Linked DNA regions of Zea mays. Each later gene encodes a partner of the first gene's protein in a complex. Links are inferred from orthologs where the notes say so. Each region holds a gene or a part of one and is shown on either strand. Other genes may lie near its edges.

Region 1 (3,938 bases):
TTGTCGCGTTGTTCGTTCCATTGCTGCATCACCTCCTTCTCATCACGCATTACGAGGTCTTCAAAGGGTCTTTGGTCATCAGCCGGGAGCGCCTCCATGGCCGGCTTGATGATGTTGGTGGTGGAGATCTTGGTGTGATCCTTAGAACCGACCATCTATGGGCCGATTTTTAGCAGGTCTAGACACCTAGTCCCCAGCAGAGTCGCCAAAAGTATGTTGACACCTTTTTCGGGCGCCAAACACTCAACAAGAACCGGCGACGGTGCTCTCTACACAGGCGCAAACGGTTCGCGCCCAGGGGCCGGACGGTCCGCGACCTGACGCAGGGCTAGGGTTCCCTGCCTGACGGCCGGACGGTATGCGCCCTAGGGGCCGGACGGTCCGCGTGTGCGCAGGGGCGGCGAAAGGTCGCCGGCGGCGCCTGGATCTCGCTCCCGGGAGGGACCCCGTCGGGGAGGAGAGATTCTAGGGGTTGTCTAGGCTCGACAGGCCGACCTAGATCCTCTAATCGACATAGAGTCGAAGAGAAGCGGAGAATTTGGGGATTAGAATACTAAACTAGGGCTAAACTAGAACTAGACTAGAACTACTCCTAATGCATAAGGTAAAAACGAGTAATAGACTTGATTTGATCGATTGTTGGGGAGTTCAATCGGCCGTAGCCCTTCATCTATATAAAGGGGGAGGTCTGGATCCGCTTCGAACTGATTTCCGAGTCAATCCCACGGTTTTAGATAACAAATCCCATGAGAAACTAGGAACCCTAACTGACTCTGCGCACGTGCGGACCGTCCGCGCCACCACCGAAGACAGTCCGGACCGTGGACCGTCCGCGCGGCCCCTTTTGGCTTTCAACAACTGTATATGCTCGGACTTAGAGCTAAAGATCCAGAAATGAGGAAGCAATTCTTCAAGCTTTACCATGATACAGTTTTGTAAACATTCTTAATCTTTAAAAGATGCTAACAAGAGTATAGGACAACAATTAATGCTTCTGCATTTCAACGTATCTTATCTTAACATATTTTACTCCGTAGCAATGCACGGGCATACAACTAGTATCATTGTAAGTTTTATAATGGAATGAAGCCCTCTAATTAATGGTAAAATAGCGAAACTCACTTTTGATAATGGCGCAATCCTAAATTTCTCCGTGAGGAACCGGGATTCTCCAGGGCGGAGGAGGGGATGTGTGGGTCAAATGTGCACTAGCCCATAGGAGGCCCATAAGGCCTGTCTCATCAAGCGTGGATAAGATAAAATAAAACAAGCACCAGGGACAGGGAGTGGCTAGACCGCAGCAATTGCGATTGCGAGTCCTCCAAACCATGGCGCTCGCCCTGGCCTCTCCAATGGCGTCTCTCTCCTTCCACTCCGGGAGGATCTCGGCGGCGTCTATCGGAGGCGTCGGCCGCACTCGCAGGGCGGCCCCGGTGGGCGTATCCGCCTCGCCGTTCCTCCGGAGCTCCTTCGTCTCGTCCTCCTCCACGTCGTCCGCCTCCGCCTCCGCCTCCCCCGCTTCGCTCGCGGCGGCTGTCTCGGCGTCTCTGGCATTTACGTCCTCCTCCGCGTTTGCGGGTGAGAATGTATCCTGTAATCCTTTTCTTCCTGTATTCGTGTGCTAGCGTTTGGGCGGCCATTTGTTTTGGTCTTTATTTGGGGAAATTTTGTGGGTAGTTTGCTTACTAGTAAGCTCGTACGGGGAAATGACATTAAAAATTTGAAATTATGACTTCATGACCGTGTGTTGACGATAGATTTGCAGAATAGGATGTTTGACTTGCTAATAATTCACTAATAATACAGTAAGCTGGTATCAAGAGGGTGGAGTTTTGGAATAGTTTGTTCTTTGTTGTTCATTACTCTAGTAGGGTGAAGAACAGTAACTGGGGATTTATGTTGTTTTAACGTTTGAACCGGAATTAATTACACTCACTTCATCTATACAAACAGAAATAAGGGTGTCCTAACTAATTCTTTGAAAACATTGAAGCTTGTGTGGTTGGTATTATAAAAAAACCAAAAATTCAGTTAGTCGGGCATATTAATAGAGAAGGACTAGATACACCAACATCGTTGAAAACAAAAGAAAAATGCTCACGAAACGAAGCGATGGCAAGACAATCACCAAAATAATAGTACATCGCCAATAAAACCATCAGAGCATTGGCAATCAGAACACGCCCTGATAGCCAAACAAGATATGGGGTGGGGTTCATATGATGCCTCCAAGGAGGTAAACAACATCTGCAGGTGCCGCCATCGATTATAGAACCTATGCTTTTGAACCAAAATCCCCTTAGGGTCTAGAGACCTCTTGACAATGCCTACAAGGAGGAGTGCGTCACCATTGCTGGCATCAACAGAAAGCCGAGCGTAGCTTTTGTCGAAAATCTGCTACCCCAAAACCCACACCTTGTTCCTGCAATGGCAAGGAGCCCACCAACGGCACTGCATGTTGTCATCCACCAAGTCTCAAGATAAAGTCATTGCAATAGCATTTTCTTTTGCTTGACAAGAAATCAAGATTTAAGAAGGGCTGCATATGACAGGACTATTAACCAATATAGTGAAGATTATATAACACAGTTGAAGCATAAACGCTTCCAAGAAACTTGATCTCAGGACTGATAGTCTGATACTACGACAACACTTTAATCACACTCGACTTTTCCATTACCTAAAGCAAATCCCAAAGCTCCTAAAAGAAGCACGACAAAGTTGAATCCAACAAACCATTTAAGCATTGTATAACAATCCAAACACAACCAGATAGGTATTCACAAATCAATGATTGTGAGTGCATGTGTGCCTTCGTTGTTCTTATACTTATAGCATGTTCTATGCCAGGTTCATCTTTGGGAATCGAGTTCAGCTACAGTATAATGACAACACGGAGATCCCGTGGTATGCAGATTAGGGCTGGAAAGGCTGCCCTCTGCATGACCAAGAGGTCAAGGTCTAGGAAGTCACTTGCCCGTACACATGGTTTCCGCAGGCGGATGCGGACTACTTCTGGAAGGAAGGTACTGAAGCGCAGGCGCGCCAAAGGCAGGAAGGTTCTTTGCACAAGGACAAACTCAAACAGTGGGAAGAAAAGAATGTTCTAATTACACTGCAATTTGATGTGCTCGCAACTGTAAGTGTAATGTCTACTTGCAATCTTCTAAGCCGCCATCTATGTGTAACAATCATGTAGCATCCTATTCCTGTTTAATTGGTTAAAAATATCTGGATCACCTTCTGCTTCCAAGGTTTTATTTGGTGTATGAATGATATTTTCTTATGAATATTTACTCTTCCCTAGTGGGCCTGAACCTGCGTGCAGTATGAAGGAACACTTGAGAGTAGATACCGTCGCTGTTATGAAGTAGGATCTCCTTTTACCCTGCCCATATTCCGTTATGAATACTGAATCTTCCCTGTTGGGTCTGAAATTGTGTGCAGTAGCATCGTTCGCTATACTGAACTAGGATCTCCTTTTGCGTTGCAGGGATAATCAGTTAAACTATTATATACTCCGGTTCCAATTTATAATTCATTTGACTTTTTTACACTAAGTTTGACCATCTCGTTTTATTTAAAAAATCATAATTATTGTTAAAGTTTACTGTGGTTTTGATTAGCATACAATATACTTTAAGTATGGCTTTGGATTTTTTTATTTTTTCAAAAAAAAAATTGAATAAGACAAACCGGATTTACCTTCATTAGCTGATGATGAAACTACTTACCCGTGCGGCCGTTTGATCCTTGCGCTACTTAAATTCTCTTTTCGATGGAGAGAAAGAGGCCGAAAGGACTCTGATGTCTAAAAGTAGAGTAAATTAAAGCACCTAATTATTTTCTAGTAAAGACATATGTATGAAATTAATTTATTTAGATGCACAAACAAGACGGGTTGTTATATCTACCGTAAAAGAGTCATGCAACATATG
Region 2 (2,969 bases), about 29 Mb from region 1:
ATTTATCTTACCACTAGTATTTGATCCCACATGTAATACACTCAGTTTATTGGAATACGTGAAATCTCCTACTCCCTTAGGTGTTATATTATTGTCATTTAGGATAACGACACAGTCTTTAAAATATAACTTTAACCAATATTTTTTTGTTAGAATACAAATAAAATCTTAATGCATTTATACTTTTATAAAATTACTTTTTAAGATAAATTATGTTTCAAAACTAAATAAATAACAGTTATTTGTAGTCAAAATTTTATAAGTTTGACTCGAACATTATCCAAAACGACAAATAATATAACACCGGAGGGAGTATCTATTTGCTTGTCGCTATCTATTCTTATTTCCGCCACATTTTCTATCAACGTAGGAAATAGAGTGAATCAGAGCTAGTGTATGATATTATCTTCAACGGTTTATTAATAACAAAATAAAATTACTTACTTTTCTTTTGTCTAGATTAAGCCAATAATATTATAGTCATTTTGTTTTATTTTATAGAAATTAGCTTGAATTATATGTTGGTGCTAATTGTTTGTAATGGCATGAGATTTTACAAATATTCTATTCCACCCATATGGCCGTATGTCACGACATGTTTTATATATCATGCAACACATGGACACTCAATTAGTTCAGTCGCATGGAAAAATTGGTTGTATAAAACTATGACTCGGAAATTGGATCACCTAGCAACAGGAGGCTAGTTTGATCAAACAGTATGCGGTATCAGGTTATCAGCAGACGACTCAAGCTGTAGTCAAGCATCAGCGTATACTCCTAGTGAGAAATATCCATTTCCTCGAACCAGGATCATTTGCTTGTTTGATCAATACCATCCTACCCTAGAGTGCATTGCAGAAAGCACATTGTATTTGGGGGCCCATGATCAACAAGACCCTATCTCGTGAAGTAGTAGTAATTGTACATTTTCCATTCCGAACATTAACCGAACACCTGGAGAGCAATGCGAACAGACAGAGTCTCGATTCCATTCAAGAGGGCAAATGTAAACTGGACCGGTGACCACGCACCGGGTGAGGAAGACGGGGAGCCATCAATCAGTTGTCCCCCTCGGGCTCGAACTCCGGGTCGCCGTCTGGGTGCATCTCCCTCCACTGGTCCTCGGGCCAGTACTCCTTGATGTGGCCCCACTTCTTGCGGAACTTCTCGATCTGGCTGTCCATGACCACGAGCGCCGAGGTGTCGCCGACATAGTAGGGGTGGTTTCCGGACCACACGTCCACCGTGTACTCCGGCTTGGTGCCCCCCGTCACCAGCACCAGCTCGCCGTTGCAGTACACCTTCGCGTCCTCGTAGATCTCCGGGTGCAACCCCTTCTTGCGCATCGAGCAGCGCATCCCCTGCACCGCGCCGTCCAGGTTCCGGACTCAGGAATTAGCGGCGGCGACGACGAAGATCCGTGCAGGAATGGCGAGAGGGAGGGCCGGTGTGTACGAACGTGCGTACCTGGGAGGGGACGACGGAGCGTAGGGTGCGGGCGGTGGTCCTCGCGGCGGCGGGGATGGGGAGGAAAGAGGTGGAGAGGGAGAGCGTCATGGCGGACGATGGCCTTGCCTCGCGACAGTCGCTTCGGCTGCCTATGTTCTTTCCTTCCTCTTATCTATCGCCTTGCTAATGTTATCCTCTGGCGCTCGTCGATTCTCTCTTTAGGTAGCGTTGTCTAGGCTTGTTTGGGCTCTATATGTTCATTAAAGTCTGTCTGTGGTTTGTTTTGGGCTACGTGGAAATGCGACGGCCCACGAAAAATCCAGTGCCCAATTTCTCCTTCAGTTATTTCCAGTTGGCGGCCAGCTATACTAAAGAGGTATAGCTATGCGGTTTTTTATTTATCGAAACATTTCGGATCAAAATTCTCTTTCATAGATGTAACGTCGAAGAAAGTACACCACCAGAAATGAAAGTGTTGGTAGATGGTTGGTTGAATTAGTGGGCCAAAAGAAGAGAAAGTTGCATGCCGTGTAGAGTCTGACTTAAATATAATTAAGGAATGATATGCAAACTACAATTACAGTTGTTACGGTTTTCTTAAGAGTATAAAATTAAATAATTTAGAGCAACTCTATTAGAGCAACTCTAGTAGTTCTCCAAAAGATTCCTTAAATCAATAAATAATTTAGGTAGCTAAACTAAAAACTCATCTCCAACAACTCTCTTAAATGAATTTTCTAAATTTAGCTACTTCTCATCTAATCTCAATTTCTCCCTACATTTAGCAACCATTTATCAACTTCCTAAACAAAAAACTGACGATAACTTTTGTATTTTGGTGTTTTTTCACTTTGTAGTAGAGATATATTAACAGAGCACATTCGTCGGACGCCGACGATGTAAAATTGTGGCAGGTAGTCAACTAGAGATTAACCAATTGCCAATGCAATAGCCGCACGTGCACATGTTAGAAATAAACGAATAAACAATTGTGATAGTAAATAAAAAAGCCAACATAACTCACCAATTAAATGTGTCATCACTAATGGTCCTACTCAAACTAGCGTCATGTTAATTAAAATTTAACATATTTAGAAAGTAATAGATAGAGAAATGTTGGATGAGATGATTTTTTCCCCTATATTATATGAGAACTTGCTATATCTAGGATTTAGGTATTATTATTATACATAACTATTGTAGTTGCTCTTACTAAATACTATACTCTTCTATCACCTTTTGGTATATCATTATTCGTACGTCATGCTGCCCTAAGTATTCATATATTTTAACTTTGGTTTGTTTGGCTATCTCTATTCATTATGCCTTGTTGATAATAGATCTAGCTAAGTATTCATATATTTTAACTTTGATAGGTGCAATTTTATATTTGTTATTTATCGATTAACTACATCTACAAAGATTTATTCCATGTTGTATGAGTATAACAATGTTTGTCGATCATAATTACGATGTTCTGCTGCAATTCATACTAAACTATGATTGTTTGCTTTATT
Region 3 (3,637 bases), on another chromosome or scaffold:
AGGTAGTGAACCTCTTGAGTTTATCCCTACGTAACCCTCGCCGACTTATCTTCGCATGGCTCCGCTGCATGGGGGCTTCAGCGCGGGAAAGTCGGGTCTCTGTTGCGATTTACTCGCTCGACGTTGTGGGCCATTCGGGTTTGCACCAATCCGGTATCACGTCGCTCTGCTTTGTTGGTTGTTTCTCCCCAGGCCCACAAAAGAATGACCTTACGATTTATTGGGCCCTTGGGCCTTTCGTGAGGTCTTTTACTCCTTTAGTGGACCCGGGGGATATCTATCCCCCACACAACAGCCTTAGGCTCCATGGCATCCAATTGTGTTGTCACATGGAGCATAGGGTGTCCACAACCCCTGTCACGATAGTTTGGAATATTGCATCTCATTTTTGGGCCAACACAACCAACACACTAAAGACATCAATCATGGTTGAAAGAGAAGAGTAAGGCCATGTATACAAAGTACACAAACTAGTCTACTTCACGAGTGAGGTCCTATTAAAGTCTAAAGTACGATACCCGCAAGTCTAGAAACCACTCTACACCCTACTAATCATATTGCACAGACTTTGCCACTAGGTCTGGACGAGAAACTTGTGGATCCATAACTCGCTCTCATTAGTGGCTTGATACATCTTGGCTCGTTTGAAATGAGTCACGAGCTCAGCCAACATTTTAGTTTGGTTCTTAACGAGCCAAACGAGCTGCACAGCTGCCCTGCGGCCCAACGAGGCCCAAGCGTCAAGCGACCTAGCCCAACCAAGCGAGACGTAGACGACGAACCACATACGACAAATCTACTATATTCAAGCTTGAATATTCAGTTTTCAACATTTTATTTTGATTTGTATATCAATCTTTCAATATTTTATTTGATTTATATGTGGTGTGTCATGACCAAGCAATAGTGCATGACAATCTTGATAGCAAGCTACCATTATGGATTCTAATTGAACTATTTTTGTCATGCACTTTAGCTTGAACATGTGTAATCAGTTTAATATATGGTTACCTCTCACTAAAAAATATATATGTAACGTCATCATGGGCACATGTCCCACATATCAAATATTAAACTGATCACACTTGTTTTTTAAGTTGTTTTTTACACGCATGACCAGCTCAATGACTGTTGTTAATCACGTATTCACGATATTAGGTTCGTTGTTAGCAAAACAAGGCTGTATTATGATGTTAATCTTATTGATCCACTAAACAATCTTGGCTTGGGCTTGATGGGCTTTAGCCATCTCTGTATCCTCAATGGGTCCAAGTCCAGAGCACACGAAGGCCTAGCCCAGAACCACTGGATTGGCCACTGCCAGCGGCACAGCCGACGCCTTATCCAGCAACCGTCTTCCTCATCCATGGCATAAGCCGCGCCCGCCTCCGCACGCCCCGCTCCGATGGCAGCCGCGGCTGTGACCCTGCCCTCCTCGGGCACGCCCTTCGCCGTCGCCACAACCGCCTCTTCCTCATCCGCCCGCCGCTGCCTGCTCCTGCCCTCCGCGGCTCCCCGCCGAGCTCTCCGCGTCGTGGCCTCCGCCGCTACCGAGGCGCCGCCCAAGCCCACGCAGCCGCCGACATCGCCCTCCGGCATCGTGCTCGTCGACCCATCCGAAGCCCAGAAGGTGCACCGGCTCAAGGCCGTCTACGACCAGAAGGTCGTCCCGCTCATCACCGAGGAGTTCGGCTACACCAATGTCCACCAGGTGCTCGACCGTCGACCCTGCTCCTCCTCGCCGCGGAAAGGCCCGCCGTTCCTCCTTGTAGCTAGGCTAATTTGCTGGCGTGGTAGGATTTTGACTTTTGATGAGTCGTGCGGTTGGTTCGAACGGCTAGGTTCCCAAGCTCGAGAAGATTGTGGTGAACTGCGGTCTGGGCGCGGAGGCAGGGAACTCGAAGGGGCTGGATGCCGCCATGAAGGACCTGGCCATGATCACCGGGCAGTGGCCCGTCAAGACCAAGGCCAGGAAGTCCGTGGCCAGCTTCAAGATCCGTGAGGGAAACACCATCGGTATCGCAGTCACCCTCCGCGGCAGGGTGAGCCTCATCCATTGCTCATTTGGCCTCGGAGTGTATTTCGTGGCAGTTTGGAATATGGCAGCTTAGTATAATCTGCAATACAAGTGGAAATTGTGAGCTCGTTTCACTGGTACAGGGCTCATTTCTTTTTCTTTTTTTTGTCCTTGGCTGTAGATAATGTACAACTTCCTGGATAGGCTCATCAACCTTGGGCTCCCTAGGACCATGGACTTCCTGGGTGTCAACCCCAACAGCTTCGACGGGCACGGCAACTACAGCCTTGGCCTCCGTGACCAGGGCGTGTTCCCGGAGATCCCGTACGAGGTGGGCGGGAAGAAGAACGGCATGGACGTGTCCATCGTCACCAGCGCCAAGACGGACAACGAGGCGTTCAGGCTGCTGGTCCTCCTCGGCATGCCATTCTCGGAGAACATCAAGACCGACGTGGTGATCCGGAAGAAGAGGTTGAAGCGCCACCACTTCCTGAGCAAGGGCAAGGGGAAGGGAGGACGACGGTGAGGAGAGGAACCAGCCAGCCAGCCAGCCCATGGTTGCACACGCTCTGTTCAGCTTGTTTTAATTCCGATCTTTTTGCAGAATTTGGCTTACAAATTCGATGCTGTTGTTGTCTGTCAATTATGTAACTTGTGCACCTATGAAAAAGGTTTGCAATGATCATGTCCGTTTTGCTGATTTCTTCTTGATGCATAATTTGTAGTCACAAGTTATACCACTGCCAGACATTGTAATCGGAGGAAGCAGTAATGTGAGACGGACACTGTAATGCAAACGTATTTCAGCTGCATTTCTCATACTGCTTGTCTAGACTATCACCGAAGAGCCTATATGATCAATGATCTCTTTTGGCAATCGGCCTCAATAGCTACACTTCGGCAGCTCGGGTGGGCCGATGACGAGCTCTTCCTCCGGGAAGGCGCACGGCTTGCCCTCCGCGGCGAGCTCCGGGCACGGCTTGGGCGAGACGTGGGAGGTGACCCCCTTGACGTTGGTGCAGTTCCACTGCAGCTCCTTGGCGTCCGGCGCGAGGCGGGCGGTCACGTTGGATATGCAGATCCCGGTGTAGGGGTCCTTAGGGATGCCCTCCATCCTGCCGGCCATGGTCACGTTCTCGGCGAACACGTCGCTGTAGTTGATGCCGGTGACCTCGGGCATGGCGTTGGGGTCGGACGTGTTGTCGGGGTGCTGCCCGTAGTTGCCGGTCATCCAGAACACCCACTTCATGGTGTGGAGGCTGAGGCCGCGCACGAAGATGTCCCTGACGAAGCCGCCCCTCCCGGCGCCGGACTTGACCCTGACGGCCGACTCCGTGTTGATGGCCACGCTGTCCTCGGCGCGCACGTCGCGGATGCCGCCGGACATCTCGCTGCCCAGCGCGATCATGGCGCTCGTGGGGGAGACGCAGGTCAGCCTCCGGATGACGATGTGCTGGCTCGGCATGTTGAACCTGATGCCGTACTCGTCCCACCCGCTCTTCACGGCCACGCAGTCGTCGCCGGAGACGATGTAGCAGTCCTCGATCTTGACACGCGAGGAAGAATCTGCACACACGCACAGGCAATGAAATTCAGAATCAGAAACATGTGCTTCTCACT
Region 4 (4,261 bases), on another chromosome or scaffold:
AATATATGAAAGGAATAGGCCGAAGAAGCGGCAGAAAACGAAAAAGAATGGCAAAGGCAAGGATTGGCTCCTGAGGAAAAAGGAGCAGATGAGAAGAAGAGGACATGATGTGCCCGCCGACACGAAGTACACCGGGCGTAAGCGGAAAGGCTATTTCTAGCTCTGTGCAATGCCCCCTTGCCTGCAATGCTGGCTGTTCAGTTATGATGCTAGTTCATTTAGCAGAAGCAGAAGGATTTTTGTAAAGGGTGAAGCGAGGAGTTGTACTGGTATTCGGGAGTCATTGCATTTTTAGACAACGATGTGAAACTGTCATTTTTGTAGAACGTGGATGTTGAGATGAATACAGTTGGTTTGCGTGAATCTGTATCAGATCGCTGGTGACGCCCAGACTTTGGCTAAAAGAAACGCAGTTCATGTGTCAAGTACGTTGGTGTTCCAATCTGAATAACGCTCTATGGAGCCCCATACTTAGCAAATTTCTTGCCTTTTTTTTGTAGTGGATGCAGACGTAGAGGTGGGGAAGGTTAGAGGACAAGAAAGAAGGGTCGTTTTTGGCGAAGTAGTGCTCTACAGTTCAAACAAATTGTTCTTTACAACAATTTATATTTTCCGCCTCAAAATCAACAGATATAATTGTTGAAAACTTGACTTCACACGGTAGGGAATAGGATGCGCAGTGAGCCAGTGAATTGTGTATCAAAACCAGGCAAGTCACGGCCAGACCAGGCCTCATGTCTACCGCAGCACCTGGCACTTGCAGCAAAATCTCTGCACTAAACAAAAGCAACTGTGTAAGAGCAAGACCAGCGGAATTCTAAGAGCCAAATCTCAAGGAAAGAACAACGGCAAATGAGCTCGCCTGGCAAACATCAGGCTTCTCCAAAGTCCATTACTCGAGGTTCTGTAACTGCTGAGCTCATTTCGCATAGACATTCAGCCTTACTCGCGCTGTCACGTCTGGGTGAAGCTTGATCTCTGCAACATACTCTCCGATTTCACGGATTTCTGGAACCGTCACCAGCTTCTTGTCGACATCCCTACAAGACACAGCGTGCCAGCAGTAAGAGAAGCAATATAATGATGAGAAACGCTATTAAGATTGCCTAGGAGTTAGGAGCATATGCACTTGCCTATTAAGTTGTGACTTTATTATGTCAACAACATCCTGTGCCGTGACACTGTACAATAAAAGATATCGTCAGAAAAGTGAAAGTAAGACTATACCCAGCAGATAGTGACACTATAGATTGCAGTGTGTACAAAGTAGAGTTTGAAATGAGAGATGGAGATGGGTAAGCTGTAAGAGATAGCCTGAGACAAGAGAGAATAAATAATGGATTGTCCAACTTAGAACTTGCCTCCCAAAGATCTGTTTTCCTTTTCCACCTTTGCGAGGGAGTTTGAAAGCGCCAATGGTTTCAAAAACTCGAGCAAGTTGTTGCGCGTCTTCTTTTACCTATGTAAATAGAGGACTTCTTAAGGCCATAATTATAAACAAAAACTGATAAAAATGCATTGATAGAATTTCATGAACATATCATGCTTAGGACTTAAATTACGGAGGACATAAAGGCACTATATTTTCTTTTCATAAGGAAAGTAAGGATAAACTGCAATTGAAGTTTACTCTCCAGACAAAGAAAAAGGTCGCTGAGGTTAAATTGCAACTACATTTATTACTGAGTAAAATATTTTTTCCTACCCGCTTCTTCTCAGCTTCTATTCTCTCCTGCTCCAGCTGCATTTCCCTGCGAAGAGAAGTAGAGGCAATAAATTCATTCGCAATCTTACTTACCCATCGAATCAAACAGTATGTGTGTCGACCATTGCAATTCTATTAGAAAGGTGCATGGATTGGATTCATATCTCAATCTAGTTTTGCTAGGTGCCTAGGTCCCAAACCTCAGAGTCAAACTAAGCATACCACAGAGAAGGTCATACGGTTGCCAGCAGCCACTGAATCATTTGACAGAGTGTGGACTTTGCAATTACTTGAGGATTAAATGACATAACTAACAAAGCAAAGCAAGTGAGGGATAACCGAGAGCTGGTAGCAATTACTTGAGGACTTCTGGGGTCAGAAGTGTAGCCTTGCCCTTGGGAAGGAGGAAGTTGCGGTAGAATCCAGCTCGCACCTTCAGTGTATCCCCTTTCTTCCCCACCTCTTCTATGTCGTCTGTCAATATGACCTATGGGAAAGAATTGTTTTTTTTATGGAGAAAGGTAAAATCACATGTAATGCTAAGGGTGGCGGTAATAGCTACACAAGATAAGCACCACATTGTCAATTTAACTGGATGCACCGTTGTTGCATTCTTGTACAATCAGGCAAACACAGCAAAAGGAACGACTTATGAACTGAACTCCAACTAGTGAGGCAAGGCTCCCATCAAAGGTATTTCATCCCTAGTATCTAAATCCCCTGCCTAAAAGCCTGGTTAGTAGTAGTAGTAGTACAACTCTTGGAGCATCTAAATTGTGCGAGCCACTATATCTTACCTGTTGCCAGTGAGACAGCTAAGCTAGCTAACTTCATTTGTATCTATTGATCACAATATACAAACGTACCGACGGCGGTGCATCAATTTTTTTAGAGAAGAAAACTAAAACGCGGCAGGTTATGATGCCCTCAGCAACCCGCGTGCATTAACTGATTGCTAAGATGAAATCAGCACAGAACTCGAACATAAGAACACGCGGAAAGCCCGGGCCGACCTGGCGGTACTTCTTGACCTTCCCCTGGGCGACGATGACCAGCGACGGAGCCCGGCGAGAGGCCGTGAGGCAGCGCCCCGCCGAGGGCCGCGGGTAGGAGGCGGGGGTCCAGGGCAGCGTGGAGGCGCACGACAGCGACGCCATTGCTCTCGCGCTTCGCTACTCAAGCAAGTGGCGCTTCGGTCGCCTCCTCCGCTCGCACCGCTTTCCTTTCTTATCCATCCACTGACTTCGCGAGAGGCCTAAATAATGGTTTGGGCCCGGAAATGAGAAAGCGGCGGCGGCGGCCCAATCGATCTGGAATGGATAATGTCACGGCTCCGTAGAGCCCGTTTCACAGCTTCTCTCGCCTGTCGCGCTGCGTCCATGGCGGGAGCCTGCGCGGTCGCCGTGCCCGGATCCAGCCGCGTGAACTGCCGGCGTGATAGCCCTTTCTCGAAACTGAGAATTCGATATCACCGAAACGTATTTCTAATAAATAGTTCCATCGCATCTTGTAAGTTGGATAAGTTTGCAATTCGATATCGGTGAATTTGATTAATCCAAAACCTCAAGTACAGTGTTTGTCTAGTCCCGGGGTTTGGGATCAGCATCCCACAGCTTCAGACTTCTACGCCGCTTGCCAGACTGAAAAGGACTCCAACTACATAAAAATAATTGCTTGGCAAGAATGACAAGGGACCAACGCCGCGACGATATTAGTTGACAACTTTCACTCCCTCGGTTGCCACTCAGCCTGAAAATCTTGCAGCTCTCCAATAAAACGAATATACGAGCTCGTGGGGACCCCCAATGAATCTAAGAACTTTGATTGGACTACAGCACCATGTAAGACAATCTTCTATCCTGCAGTAAATATTTACAGCCTACAGGTTGTCGTTCAGCCACTTCGCAGCGCCATTAACAATGGACCTGAAAGAATTCAACATCTAGGTCAGAATACAAGAGATAACCCAATCACAAAAATGTCTGATGAACTAAATCAATCAACATTTTTTCCTCTCGAACTCAGCCAACCTTTTATTTTTCTCGAACACAACTAACACAGTTAGGATGGCTCAAATTTCAACAGAGGTTATGCATCTGCATTCAAATCTCCCATTACTACAGTGTAATTTCCCCTTTTAAAGAATACTCGGAAATGTAATGCAGTGACCAAAAATATAGTTCATTACTACAAGATTAAGTTGGGTTGGTTCAGATTTCAATAAAAGAGGCATCTGCATTCAACTTCCCATTACTATTTACTACACTAGACCGGACGGGGCGCTCCGCTGCGCCAGTTTCGAAGTGCGTGAAAGAACAGGTAAAGTGATAAGTCGTTCAACAGCGATCGGTGAACAGTAATATTCAGAGATACATCAGCCAACACGCGTGAAGCCACGGCCGCAGGCTGGATAATTTAAAATGCAGGCGTGAAGAGAAAGGCGTTCAGATTTTAAGAAACTTAATTTGTAATTTTCCCTTTTAATAAAGGAGTACGTGAAAATGTAACGGCTGCCATAAACAACTAGGTAGTTTATACTTTATACCACCAGAAGTC
Region 5 (3,897 bases), on another chromosome or scaffold:
AAACAACTAGTTACATGCTTTTGTTGAAGCATTGTGGAGGAACTTCATCCAGTGTGCTATGATCAAATGTAGCGTGATTCGCTACACCGATGAATGATCAATGTTCACATTTGATGATAGAGGTCGATGCTTGTGTTGTGTCATTGTTTCGGGAGATGAAATAGAATGTACAAGGGAAATGTATTACTTGCAGAGCATCTCATTTCACCAATCAAAGGTTGTGTAGAATTGTGCATAATCTGGTTTAAAATAGATGGTCGTACTATTAAGATAGTCAACATTGTTTCCATATCTGTCATCTAGAGCCACTTGAGTGATCTAACTTTGCATATGTTGCTAGGATCAAGTGGTGGATAAAGTTTGAGATAAAAAACCTTTGAAAATGCTAACTAAGTCTTAAAGGTGTTGATCATCACGTGGGAAATCATTTGGAGTTAACTTTCTTTGTAAAAAAAGGTTTTCGATATTCTCCTAACCAAGGGTTGTGTCTTTGGATTTGAATTCTGGATTAGTCCATTTTGTTCTGAATCAATTATTAAAGTGGCTATCGTAGCCCTTTAAATAAAATTTCCGAAATGTCTAATATCATCGAAGTCAGAGTTTGGATGAAGAAGTTATGAACATTTTTAGTTGAGCCGGTGTGTCTTGCTCAGTAATAAGCATATGCTAAAAGCAAGAGAAGAGTACATCGCAAAGAAATTCTATGCAGAGCCGCTATCAGATTCACCAGCACCAGCTTTTTTCTTGGCAAAGTACTCTTCTGCTCGGGCTTGGTTCTTTAGATAATTTTGTGGAAGCCATTTCTTTCGTTTAGGTAACAGAGTTAGGGAACAACCAGCTGCCTCAAGCTTCTCTTTAGCTGAAGCTGAAAACGCTCCAGCCTTGATATTCAACTTAACTGATACATCCCCATCTCCTAAGATCTACAAACAGGTGAACAACAAGTGATCATGAAGGTAAGACAAAATATGATTGCAAAAACTAACAGGTGGCACATGCCACTTCATGTTTATGTTAGCAGATATGGAAGTTTGTAGTTACTCTAGAATATATTGTAAATCCAATGAACAACCTATGGGAACATTGCCAAATTGTACAAACAAAGCTATTCAACACTTCAAGTGGTGCTCATCTAACAGAAACAACCAAAAAAACTCGATCCCGTATTGCATGTTCTAATAGATGACTCTAACTCAAGTGGATAAACTTGGTACCTAACATTATCACAGGCTAATTCAGAATCGATACAACAACCTATAAGAAGTAAAAAAGTAAGAATACTGGCCACTCAATCTAACGACAAATCACTAAACACTTCGATTCTTGCTTCAAATCTGGGGTACAATAAGGTTGCCTTAAAGAGAACATGTCCTCACTGGCCAAGACCTAAGCCAAACCCTTGAATATGAAGTCATTCATATTTTCGAACGTGTCAAGTTCTATGTCACAAATACCAGTCCACAAAACAAGTTTTATTGAAACAACCAAAGGTTAATCATCAAAAGATTTACCTTCAGCGGCAGCTTCCTTTCCCTGCCTGATGGATTGATCAGACCCCGTGATTTCAGGCTTTCCAGTGATATTTCGTCACCATCTTTGAATCCGCCGCGCACTATGTCTTTTAAATTGAATGGCACATACTTCGGCAGGCCAATGTGCATCCCTGAAAAGCCATGGTGGAACTCACATCAGGCAACTTCTCAATCACTTGCATTTCTGCATTCCTTGTAACCTTGATGGGCTCTCACGAGTAACAACACAATGCATAGTTCAATTAGTTATGCGCCAGCCTGGTGTGAATTTAATCACGGATGGGCAATGCCGAAGTGGGGGTGTGAGACAAGCATCTGTCTGAACTAGAGCTTAGCGAGTTGCTTCGATTGAGTGCATTAGGGGAAGCTTCGGTTTAACTGAAGCAACTCACCGCCGGCAATGCCCCGTAGCTTGGGGAGACGGCGGTAGAGCGGCATCTGCCCTCCCTCGAACCCGCGCCGGACGCCGGGCCCCGAGCGCGATTTCTGCCCGCGCATACCGAACCCGCAGCTCGCGCCCTGGCCTGCAGCAATACCGCGTCCCTTACGCTTGGGCCGCCGGCGGGACCCCTTCTGGGGCCCCAAATTGTCGAGCCGGAACTTCTCCACTGGCGCTGCGGCGTCCGAGGCCTCGGCTGCCGCCGCGGCGCTGCTGCAGACGACGGTGACGCGACGGGGCGGGAGCGCGCGGAGCGGGAGGGCGCGGGGCGCGGCCCAGCGGCCGGCTAGGATTCCGGGACCAACGACGGAGGAGGAGGTGAAAGCCGGGATGTGGAGGAAGATGGCGGTGGGAGCGAGGGAGAGGAGGGTGATGGAAGCCATGACTGCCGTTGGAAGGGCTTGCGAATTGCGATTGTGGATAGAAGCGGATAATTGGGGTTTGGGAACGAGATAAGATGGAGACGATGGGCCTCTTCCACTCTTTATTTGGGCCTGTTTTTCAAACAGCCGTGGCCCATTCATGTCAATAATAATAATATACTCGAAAGTTGTATATAAAGAAGAAAAAATCGGTATTTTTCTGAATAGAAGATAGAACTATATCAAAACTTTGATACATTATATTCTCTAACGCTTAGACAAACATAGTTAGCAACTAAAATAATTGAGTAAGGGATAGAACCATACCTTTTTCACATCTTTTCAAAAAGATTTGCAATATGCACAAACTTAAGCAAAAAACTCTGTCCGGCAACCAAACACATCCTTAATTGCTAGAATGTGGGTAGAATAAGTTATTCAAGCAATGTTCAAAAAAGCGCGATTAAGCGCCCGCCTAATCACGATTAGACGCTAAGCGGCATGTTAGCGCTGCGCTTAGGCCCTAGGCGGTGGTTTCCGCGGTGGGCGCGTGTAGGCGGCGCGTGATTTGCGCTATGCGCGCTGAGGCGGAAAGGAGGCGTGTGGAAGCGGGGTTCGGCGCGCGGGGAAAAGGTGAGCACGGAAGCTGCTGCGCGGGAATAGAAAAAAGCTGCTGCGCGGGAATAGAAAGTGAATAGGAGGGAAAGAGGTGGGAGCTGCTGTTGCCCGGGAGAGAGTGAAACAGGCTGGGAGCTGCAGCTGCTGTTGCATGGAAGAGGAGGAAAACAGGGCCGCTGCCAGACTGGTCCTCTTCCCCAGCTGTCCAGGGCCGCCACCGTCGGTTCCTCTTCTCCTTCTGGTCAAGTCGTCCAGGCCACCGGGGTCAGCGCCTCTCTGCTCCTTTTCCCTAGCTATCCAGGCGTGCTCTCCCTCTCCCTCTGCTCTTGCTCTGCTCCTCCATCTCTTCTGTTCTATACTTTTATTCATTATTCCAGGTAAGTACCCCTAATTCCTAGCTAAAACTGTTTTTTCTGTGCAAATATATATATTATATTGTATATTCCTACAAACGCTTAAGCACGATTAATCTACGCCTAAGCTCTCTAGGCGCTAAACAGTGGCCTAACGCCCGCCTAACGCCTAGCGCTTATTGTAACCTTGTATTCAAGTACTTGATGCAGAATTTGAGGGGAGCACACATATCTTGTGTTATTTGAGACTAATGTTTTCTTTAGTGATCTTACATAATCTCAAGGTGGATAGGAGGATTGAGCAAGCTACAAGGGTGTAATTGAGACTTGTCACCTTCATGGTTCACAAAAATGGGTACCTTAGTGAGTACTTTTAATTGGTATCTTAACTGGTGCTTTGATTAGTATTTAGTGTTTTGAGTTTTAAATATATATCATGGAATTGCCCTGATAGCTGCTCATACTTATGATTCTACCTTAATCATAATGCTAAATTGTGCATCCTGCTTCGAGTTAGATGAATGATCTCCCCTAGTGTGATTTATATTGATATCATCTAGAAATTCATCTTATCTAGATGGACTAACATGATA
Region 6 (4,546 bases), about 10 Mb from region 1:
ATATCACACCTCGCCACCCAAGAAAATTGGTTATGAAAACTGTCGATCAATTTCGTATATCCAGATGGCAGGCCGAACATTGAAACAATCTGCCACTTCATACCATACGAGGTCAAAATTACAAACTTCAACTGGAAAATAAAGATTTTAGGTTGATTTAAACCGTACCATATTACATGACTACTCATTGACAGAAATTTGACTGAATTTCATGCATTGGTAAACATCAAAATTACAAAGAGGATTTATACTCCCCCCCCCCCCCTCCCCGATCAGAGGCATGGTTATGAGGATAGCATTCCAAACAAAGGGCAAAACCTTCTGGGGAGGAATTCGCCACTGCATCCTTTTCAGTCGATGAATTCTCTATCCAGTTTTTTGTATTCTTTTATCCCTGATCGGGAGTGGGACAGGTTTTTGAGCCTCGTGCGGATGTTCTGTCCCTTTGTATACCTTGAGGTGGGTAAATAATCTTCTTCCCAGCTGCAAATTGGCAAAAAAGGTGAGCATATAAATGTAAATATAACAAGTATATAGCACATAACAAAACTAAGTTAAATCAAATTTGCCATCAACAAGAAAAATGGAATGGTTAGGGGGGATGCTTCAGATAACAAGATATTTGCCTGCCATAATGTGAGTTTCAGTAAACGCATCCATACTACCAAACAATTGAACTAAGAAGCAATTTGCAAGAAAAAGGTTAATAGGCAATTTTTATGGAGTTCATGCAACACACCTTTGCGAACTTAGAAAAAAAAAGATCGGCAAGATAATTAACTAATTCAATCTGGACTTGTTAATTTTGTTCAATAACAACATTCCCTTGAATTTAGTACTGTGATTTATTCTGAATGTCACGCTTTCACTGGGAGGTACATGCTGATGCATGAGCAATGTTCTGACTGCAATACACTTCAGGGCTTGTTCGTTTCGCCGTTAATCCATGTGGATTGAGTGGTATTGAGTCGGTTTAAATCCATAGCAAGTCAAAATCCATCCCAATCCATCCCAACACACCAATCCACATGGAATTGAAATAACCGAACAAGGCCTCACCATTAACTATAGTAGTTCTCAATCTCAAAAGAAAAAATTCACATCTGCTAACTAATACCAAATTGTAATTTTTGGGACCTTAAAATAAAGGTCACCAGGAAATTTGGTTGTCATTTTCATATTTGGCATACATTATAACATGCGCACTAAAACGAGAAAGAGAACATGTAGACCTGAGGCAATCAGCTAGTAGATGTTTTTTCTTACCCTTCCCTTGGGGAGCATGCCACGAACCGCATGTTCAATGATTCTCTCTGGAATTCTTTTCTGAAGTTGGTCAAAAGTTTCTTCTTTCATCCCTCCAGGCCTTCCGGAGTGCCTCCTATAAAGCTTTTGTGACCGCTTTTTACCAGAAACAGCAACCTTATCTGCATTGACCTATGTGAATAGAAAAGGTTGTTAATGACTCTCAGCATTGTAGTGTAACACAATAATGCATATCATCTACTCCATCTGTTCCAAATTATAAGATGTTTTGGTAATTCTAGATACATAGTTGTTACTAAATATCTGGACATGAATTATGTCTAAGTGCGTAGCAAAAGTAATGGATCCAAAAAAAATCCAAAAAGTCTTATAACTTGGAACTGAGGGAATACGTGGTAATGAGCCTTTAGAGATGCACCAGTCACAAAAGGACTATGCTAACATAAACATTAAACACAACTACAGTTGAAGATTATTTGAGGAAGGTTACTCACCTCAGTACCAAATAATCTGAGGGAAGTAAAGCATGTATACTAAGGCCCTGTTTGGAACCTCTACAGCTAATAGTTAGCTGCTAAAATTAGCTATACAGGTTCCAAACACCCACAACTAATTGTTAGCTAACTCACAGTTAACAATTAGTTCATTAGCTGGCTCAACCCAGCTAACAATTTGTTAGCTGGCTACCTGTTAACTGTAGGGATTCCAAACACTATAGGTATTGAGAGAACGCTTACCACAATAACAAAAGCTCCCATGTCTACACTAGGAGTGTAAGTGGGTTCATTCTTTCCCCTGATATGTACTGCAATGGTGGATGCTAGCCTGCCTAGGATCTTGTCTGTTGCATCAACAACATACCATGTCTTCTCGGTAGTTACATGATCTGCAGCCTTAGGATACCAGGTTGTATTCCATATGTCCTGCAAATTAAATCACTGAATCAGATTTCAGTAGACACAATTACTTGTGGAGTAATTCATTAGAAGAAAGAACAAGGCATAGTACAAACAAACCATTCACTTTGTACCCATAGTATTAGTAACTGATCCTAAACAAGTCACAATTATGAACAGGCTGGTTGGCAACCATCAGTTCACTTTGACTTGCATGTCCAATTAAGCTCATTTTTAATGAATTCTCTCTCACCACAAACAGCCCATGGGTAATTTTGGATATGATGGCACATGGCAGATAACATATATAATGTACGCAGTTCTATTGTAACTTGATTGCCCTTCATCATGCACATAAAAGGATAGTCGAAGCCTCTGAGGTGGATTAAGATGGCCACGGTGAAACATGAACAAAATAGGATGGACACTGTCAGTCCAGGGTTACAATCCTGCAAAACGAGCTGTGAAAATGTGCACATTGTTTCAAGAGAGGAAGAGAGAGCGTCGTACGGGGCCGCAGAGCTCGTCTCCCTCGAACATGAAGCGCTGCTCGCGGGGCACGAGCGCGGCGAGCGGCTGCCTCTTCTGCTTGTCGCTCTTCTCGCACCGCACGGCCAGTCCCACCGGGGCGGCCCGGCGCGGCCCCACGGACGCGGTCCGGGTCAGGCGGCGGTGGTAGTGGCGCGGGGCGAAGGCGGAGGAGAGCAACGTATGGGAGGCGACGGCCGTAGCCATTGCGGCACGGCGAGCGAGCGGCAACAGGAGGAGGATGTGCAGACGGTTGGTTCAGTGGGACGCGGCCATTTTTAGGCGCAGTGGGGAGCGTCAAGCGGATAAGGGGATAGGAGACAAAGAACAGGGAAAGGTTAACAAGAACATATGGGCTTCATGGGCTCAGAACGAAATGCAGATTTGGCCCATTACGACACCTTATCAGCTCATCTGAGATTTAAACGCTTCCTTTGAAACTCTTCCCAAACTCAGAATAATGGCGGTTCCATAATTCCATCTAAAAAAAAGAAATTCAATGTATTACTATTGGGCAAAGGGAGCTGCATTAACAAAATATAGCTTCAGACAGGACCATATTTTTTTCAAACGATTCCGCTGTTCAAGTACCAATTAGAAACATCGGTAATCAGAGAAATTCTCGAGTCCAAATAAAATGACGGGAACAGAACTTCCATTGCTGCTAGTTTCCGCGACAACCATCAGCAGCAGAAGCCGAATTAATTGATAACGGACACCATTTTCACATGTTCCATCAGGAAACGGAAAGGAGGCAGAAAAGTGTTCATTCTCTTCTAACCAAAGAAAGCATATCTTTTACATATATAGTGGCAACATCGTGTGATTGCGTTGCAGTGAAGCAACAGCTTAACGTGTTTCTGGTTCAGATCCAGGATTCCCTCGCAGGAAGAACGCAAAGATGATAATATACAACAACAAAATTGTGAACCAGAGATGTCGAGTATCGACGATTAGAACCATATGTAAATCAATGGTTAGTTGGCTACCAGCAAATGAACTGGGAGGAAGGTTACGAAGTAGTAGAAGACCCTGAATTTGTCTGTGTAAGAGGTTTTACTTTCCTTGTGTGACCCAAACTATTCACAAGATCCCTGCGAGTGCATACAGGAAACATGCTCAATCCATGCATGTTTAGCCGCCACAAAACGTATGGAAAACTGAGCTGATCACGAGATGTGAAGCGAACCACTTCATTAAACCAAGCACACATGAAATGGTTCGTTGCAGGGGTGAGTTCCCTCACAATAACAGAGGCTTCGGCTAGAGCTGAAAAATCAAACGGGTAAATTCATTATAACAGTTCGGAAAACATATACAGAGATATTCCACAGGAGCAAAAGAACAATTGTTTGAGAAAGATTAACAGACTGACCTTTCAGTCCGTGCAATCTTTTTGTGTCCGGCATTCCATCTTGACGATACCGAGTCAATTGTACCTCTACCTCTTCAGGGGTAGCCTTGTGCTTTTGAACAATAGCTTTCCCCTCATCATATATGTTACTCCGTGCTCCATGTTCAGAGATAGCAAATGTAGAGTTTGTCCTCCAAAGAAGAGCTTCAAGCATTCCTATAGGATCTCTTCGTAATTGGTATTTAGAGTCAACCCATATAGAGTACCTTGCCTCTGTGAAAAGGCGATGAGTCAACATCTGCAAAAATCATGTTAAGTGATTTAGTATCTGAACACACTTTGTTTCCCAATCCTAAAAATAAAATATCAGGCTTAGGAAAGTGAGAATGAGAATTTCTATCATGACAAATTGGTACAGAGGATAGATTATGACATCTTAAGATTTCTACCTTTGGTATCTTCCCATTTAATCGTTGATCTACAAAAGGGAGGCTCCTGACAA
Region 7 (4,630 bases), on another chromosome or scaffold:
GGGCGGCGGCCAGAAATAAGGATCATAGTTGTTTCTGGCGCACAGGGAGCTTGGGGGGTTCATCAAAGATTCAGAGGGATTCAGGAGAGGTGGAGGGTGTTTTCTAATAAAATGCGGAGTTGGGAGATGCAACCGTTTGATCGAAGATTAGAGACTGAGATGTTATATGTGCACTATTGCTTCATGTGCACAGGTTACTTCGCCTTTGTAATATGCCTTTGTAATATAGGAAATGATATATGTGGATATTTCTGAGGAAGTGAGGACGAGACCGAGAGTAGTGGGTCCAGAGCTGCAAACGAACACGGGCTGCCCGCACATACAAGCCCGTTCAGGGCTTGTTCGGTTACACCAATCCAGAGGGGGATTGGAGGGGATTAAATCCTCTCCTAGTCAAAAATGACTAGGAGGGGATTTAATCCCCTCCAATCCCCCTCTGGATTACTGTAACCGAACATGCCCTCATAGTTTTTCATCCAAAACTCTGACTGGTGAAGCGGAACAAGATCAGCATATGCTGATGCGCATTGACTTGCGTTGCAAGATTTGGTGACAACTGTATAATTTACAGGGGGAAAAACTGGCGTAAATAACAACATAGAGGGATAAACAGGCTCAATTCAACATGCAAGACGCAGTCAGCGTTCAGAGCATTTTGCAGGTTTTCATGCTAAAACTGTTACTCCGAATTTCCTTCCTTAAAAACCTTTACCCACTTCTCAACACTGTCGATTACTTCACCGGTCTTGACCAGGTATCGGACCTTGGTCCCGTCCTCCAGGAATTTGTGGCCAACCCTGCTTACCACACTCTTCTCCTTAGAGTAGAGCATCACATTTGAGCTATGAATGGGGCCTTCAATCTGATCAAAGAAAATTTAAGTCTGATCAAGAGAACGATTAGGCACCTACTAAAACTACAGATATGCTCTTGAAACCAATATGTGCAAAGCATCATGAGAGGCCCAAAAAACAAGTTCAATAGAAATTTTGCTGACCATGACGATTTCACCGGGTTCATCGTCTGTGCCTTTCTTGTGCTTCGACTTCAAGTTCAGGTCCTTCACGATCACCGTGCTGTTGTGCTTGAAAAGGCGTGTGACTTCTCCAACCTTTCCTTTCTCACGGCCTGCAATAACCTGTACCGTGTCCCCGATCCTAACATGCATCTTGTGCAGCACAGGAAGACTGTTTGGTTTACACTTCTTTCGCTCCCATCTCTTAAGCTGCAGTGGAAAGTGAAGTTTTAGGACATTTCACATTATTGGATAAAAAAGGTATCAAATATTTGGACTAAAGATTTTTTTTACTCACTCTCATTTCAATTGGGCATATCTTGACCATAAACCTTACCTGCATATTGAACATATTAAACAGCTTGTCAGAACTTCACATCCTAAAGACATAAGATTCCATTTCAAATCAAAGAGACACTAATCAGATGCTTCTGAGATATGGCATGACTCAAACACAGTGGTTACGATTCATGTTGATCTGATCAAGACACTACAGGATCCAGGGCTCCTCTTTATGTTTGAGTAATACGATATCCCTTAAAATACAGTGGTTCTATCACTTCCTTCAACAGTGATTACTTGACCTCACTATCTATTCTTTACTTGCTTTTGCTTCTTAACAGAAAGGTTTATCCTCATCCGATTCTTATCAGTTGGGAATTTTCCAGGCACAAGTACATACAGGTAAGGCATAATAAAGATGACACAGAAAAGAAAGCAGGGTTCAAATACAAACATCATTATGCTCATAATACACTATTTGGCGCCAAATTTTGTTTCCAGTTAGTCATATGTATTGTGTGATGTGGGGTAATTCAGGCATAAATATATATAAACAAAATCAGTGGCACATTGAGGGCAACATAATTTCTTCAGTTGACATTTTGACCGCTTCAAAAGCAACATAATTTCCTCAGTTAACAAACTAAATAAAGAGTACTCGAACAAATTTTACCACATGAAACACAGCATACTCTCTATTAGCACTAAAAGGCAAACATGTGCATAGTTGTATATGCAAAAAGGACAATACCGGATTACCAATGACAAAGGAAATTCTCTTACTTAAATTAATCCCAATCAGTTAATCTATTTGGCGCACTCAAATCTTACCATTTAAGCTTCCATGCAAGATAAAAATAAAAAAAGAAGGTAGACGAAATTCAATATGGACACGGTCTAAATTTAGTGTGTGTCGTGGAGCAAATAGAAACTTAATGTAATATGAAATCTAATAAGGGCGAGTTTGGCATAGTTCTACTCCAAAACTTTGGGTGAAGTATATCTGCTCCGAAGTGTAGATTGCTTTCTCATAACCAGTGCATTGGATGTGTCTTGATTGTTTTTGAAGGATTTTTCAAAGTAGCAAAAAATGTACTCCAAAAAATTATACTACAACTCTCAAAACTCTATAGAGTTTGCAACTCTAGAATTAGGGTGTTTAGTTGACTTTGTCCAGGTCTTCCTTAAAGTTTTGCTCTAGAGTGATGTCAAACACCCCTAAACATAGTCATATTAGAAGCCTGGTTTGTCATCCTTGAAAATGCACAATTAATAACAATGCAAAGGTAATTTTCCATTTCATTGCATCCAATCCATACAGACTAGCTCCAAAACCGTAATGCAAGCTCGAATGTCCCTAGAACAATTCCATCCGACCGCGCTTTGCAACGCTATCCAGAAACTCCAGAGTAAAATCTTTCACCAGAACAGCTACTTATTATCTACCAAACCATCAGCAGAACGGAACGGAATTGGGAAGCAGGAACAGACCCCAGGCTGCGGCGCGGAGTAGGTGGCGAGCCGGTTGCCCCAGAAGCTGCTGCTGCTCGCCGTCGCCGCGCCTAGCGCGGAGATGGAGAGCGACGCCATGGCGCCCTGCAGCGATGCCATCCCAGCCATCCTCTCGCCGCTCTCCCTCTCTCACTGGACTTGCTCAGCGCCCAAACTGCTCAAAGGATAACGCACGCGGCTTCTTCGAGTTGCCCGGAACCGGAAGAGAGAGGATAACGCGCTCTTGTATTCTGACGCTGGTGGGTTGGGCCTCGTCACTAAATGAGACAGGCCTCAGGTGAGGCACAGATGGGCCTGGAAGACGCTTAGGTGATCCAGTGAGGCCCATGGGTGCTCGTTCTACCGCCGTGAGAGGCTACAGGCTAGGGCCTCGGCTCCACGAGCGAGCTCCGCACGCATCAGCTGATCAGCATCACTGCATCAGCTATCAGGACGACAGGACGAGGACGGCGGGGTCAAGGCTCTCTTTCTCTCTCCCTCCCTCTCTGCGTGTCTCCTCGCACGCTACGCGAGGCCACGCGAGATTGCTTGGGAGATGCGTGCCCGCCTCCAGATTCCCCGTTCCAGCGCCGAGGCGCGCAAGCTACGCGACGGTTGCTGAGGCAAGCGAACCCCCTACTCCAGTTTTTCACTTTGCTGTTGTGTAAAATAAAATTCGCGTTACAGAGACAGAGACAGTTTGGGCGATGGAGGGTAGGTGGATGGCGGTGACATCGAAGCTTTGCGCTTTTGCTGCTGCAGGTCCCATCCTGCACCGAGAAAGGGTGGGATGTCAATCGGATTTCTCTATTGCAAATCATGGTTGCAAGTTAGACGTGTTTACCTCAGATCTTTTTCTCCAGAGACATTGGGTATCTCTTTTCTCATAGTGGACTACATTTCTCCCCCTCGAAGTCAATATCTCTTTCTTCGACTTTTCATTGCTGGCAGTTCTGCGCATGTCCTAAATCCTTGAATCATAGTAGGACATCCATGACAGATCACATAAACAACACGGCCAATACATCACTGGGCAGTTGGGCCTCGGCTCCTATCGCCGTCATCTAACTACCATCTAGGGAATCAGGAATGGTCCTGCCGTGCAAGCAAACCTTTAACGTTCCCCATGGGATAAGCATGTGACTATGCAAATGCCCGACACAAATTATATCTTATTATGGTTAAGAATCTTGTGTTTATTTTTCTCTTTCTCCTTTTCTATTCGCCACATGTGTTGAGATAACTATGCAAATCGTGACATGAAGTTTTGTTTCTATGTGGCGCTACCAAACAAAATGGATAAGGAAATGTGTGGCTTTTTTCCATGATAATTGCGACAGTTTCATTTCGTAGCTATCTGTTCCTCGTGGCCATAGTAATGCTTTGCACTTTGTTAATTTTGTAAGAAAAGAAATGGCATGATCTAATAATAAGGCCTTCTCTCTATGTGGCTAACTGGCAAGGGCTTAGCAATCCTCCCCCTTTCTAACTATAACCTTTTAAGGCATGGATGCTGGAGTGCTGGGCAAAACTCAATCTGTCTGGGCAAAGCTCTACTTGCTTGCGACACTCCAGATGTGGACCATTTTTTTTCACAGGTTTCGGAGCTAGACATGTCAAGTAGTTTCCTTCGGTTGTTGATTAATTTGCCCACTGTGATAGAGATTTTGCACCTTGTGGCCTCCACAAGAGTTACTTAGTAGAGACGCACGTTGGAAGGGCTTCCAAGACAAGTGAAGCTCACTAGCTCAGCGTTCAGTTGCTTCCCACGCTTCACCAACTGAACAAGGTTTATATATATGTCATATGATCCTATCTAGTACTTATTCTTAGACTAAAAAC

Evidence for each region.
Region 2: 50S ribosomal protein L34-like (region 1) and 50S ribosomal protein L31-like share a complex: the UniProt entries of both Arabidopsis thaliana proteins name them as parts of the 50S ribosomal subunit. The link is inferred for Zea mays from reciprocal best matches to the Arabidopsis thaliana genes AT1G29070 and emb2184.
Region 3: 50S ribosomal protein L34-like (region 1) and 50S ribosomal protein L5 share a complex: the UniProt entries of both Arabidopsis thaliana proteins name them as parts of the 50S ribosomal subunit. The link is inferred for Zea mays from reciprocal best matches to the Arabidopsis thaliana genes AT1G29070 and AT4G01310.
Region 4: 50S ribosomal protein L34-like (region 1) and 50S ribosomal protein L9 share a complex: the UniProt entries of both Arabidopsis thaliana proteins name them as parts of the 50S ribosomal subunit. The link is inferred for Zea mays from reciprocal best matches to the Arabidopsis thaliana genes AT1G29070 and RPL9.
Region 5: 50S ribosomal protein L34-like (region 1) and 50S ribosomal protein L15, chloroplastic-like precursor share a complex: the UniProt entries of both Arabidopsis thaliana proteins name them as parts of the 50S ribosomal subunit. The link is inferred for Zea mays from reciprocal best matches to the Arabidopsis thaliana genes AT1G29070 and RPL15.
Region 6: 50S ribosomal protein L34-like (region 1) and 50S ribosomal protein L13, chloroplastic-like share a complex: the UniProt entries of both Arabidopsis thaliana proteins name them as parts of the 50S ribosomal subunit. The link is inferred for Zea mays from reciprocal best matches to the Arabidopsis thaliana genes AT1G29070 and emb1473.
Region 7: 50S ribosomal protein L34-like (region 1) and 50S ribosomal protein L24, chloroplastic-like share a complex: the UniProt entries of both Arabidopsis thaliana proteins name them as parts of the 50S ribosomal subunit. The link is inferred for Zea mays from reciprocal best matches to the Arabidopsis thaliana genes AT1G29070 and RPL24.

Annotation. Positions count from the first base shown.
Region 1 is NC_050098.1:192,685,943-192,689,880, forward strand, and holds 50S ribosomal protein L34-like, read left to right. Parts: upstream 1-1,302; 5' UTR 1,303-1,328; coding exon 1,329-1,578; intron 1,579-2,850; coding exon 2,851-3,110; 3' UTR 3,111-3,254; downstream 3,255-3,938. UniProt on the Arabidopsis thaliana protein: This protein binds directly to 23S ribosomal RNA.
Region 2 is NC_050098.1:221,940,082-221,943,050, reverse strand, and holds 50S ribosomal protein L31-like, read right to left. Parts: upstream 1,619-2,969; 5' UTR 1,561-1,618; coding exon 1,471-1,560; intron 1,365-1,470; coding exon 1,062-1,364; 3' UTR 769-1,061; downstream 1-768. UniProt on the Arabidopsis thaliana protein: Binds the 23S rRNA.
Region 3 is NC_050096.1:5,386,866-5,390,502, reverse strand, and holds 50S ribosomal protein L5, read left to right. Parts: upstream 1-1,302; 5' UTR 1,303-1,405; coding exon 1,406-1,711; intron 1,712-1,841; coding exon 1,842-2,042; intron 2,043-2,198; coding exon 2,199-2,543; 3' UTR 2,544-2,829; downstream 2,830-3,637. Other genes in the region: glycoside hydrolase, family 28 precursor, read right to left, coding at 2,901-3,583. UniProt on the Arabidopsis thaliana protein: Binds 5S rRNA, forms part of the central protuberance of the 50S subunit.
Region 4 is NC_050100.1:222,785,397-222,789,657, forward strand, and holds 50S ribosomal protein L9, read right to left. Parts: upstream 2,935-4,261; 5' UTR 2,863-2,934; coding exon 2,719-2,862; intron 2,193-2,718; coding exon 2,065-2,192; intron 1,752-2,064; coding exon 1,706-1,751; intron 1,460-1,705; coding exon 1,362-1,459; intron 1,182-1,361; coding exon 1,134-1,181; intron 1,041-1,133; coding exon 920-1,040; 3' UTR 863-919; intron 777-862; 3' UTR 552-776; downstream 1-551. Other genes in the region: methyltransferase WBSCR22, read left to right, coding at 1-160; Chaperone protein dnaJ A7A, chloroplastic, read right to left, coding at 3,585-3,630. UniProt on the Arabidopsis thaliana protein: Binds to the 23S rRNA.
Region 5 is NC_050096.1:27,446,957-27,450,853, reverse strand, and holds 50S ribosomal protein L15, chloroplastic-like precursor, read right to left. Parts: upstream 2,356-3,897; 5' UTR 2,355-2,355; coding exon 1,925-2,354; intron 1,664-1,924; coding exon 1,512-1,663; intron 924-1,511; coding exon 702-923; 3' UTR 617-701; downstream 1-616.
Region 6 is NC_050098.1:202,897,386-202,901,931, reverse strand, and holds 50S ribosomal protein L13, chloroplastic-like, read right to left. Parts: upstream 3,004-4,546; 5' UTR 2,898-3,003; coding exon 2,673-2,897; intron 2,190-2,672; coding exon 2,004-2,189; intron 1,438-2,003; coding exon 1,267-1,437; intron 484-1,266; coding exon 367-483; 3' UTR 80-366; downstream 1-79. Other genes in the region: uncharacterized protein LOC100285659, read right to left, coding at 3,703-3,959, 4,066-4,342, 4,494-4,546.
Region 7 is NC_050100.1:50,135,475-50,140,104, forward strand, and holds 50S ribosomal protein L24, chloroplastic-like, read right to left. Parts: upstream 2,975-4,630; 5' UTR 2,918-2,974; coding exon 2,789-2,917; intron 1,353-2,788; coding exon 1,314-1,352; intron 1,226-1,313; coding exon 998-1,225; intron 863-997; coding exon 680-862; 3' UTR 494-679; downstream 1-493. UniProt on the Arabidopsis thaliana protein: One of two assembly initiator proteins, it binds directly to the 5'-end of the 23S rRNA, where it nucleates assembly of the 50S subunit. Required for optimal plastid performance in terms of photosynthesis and growth.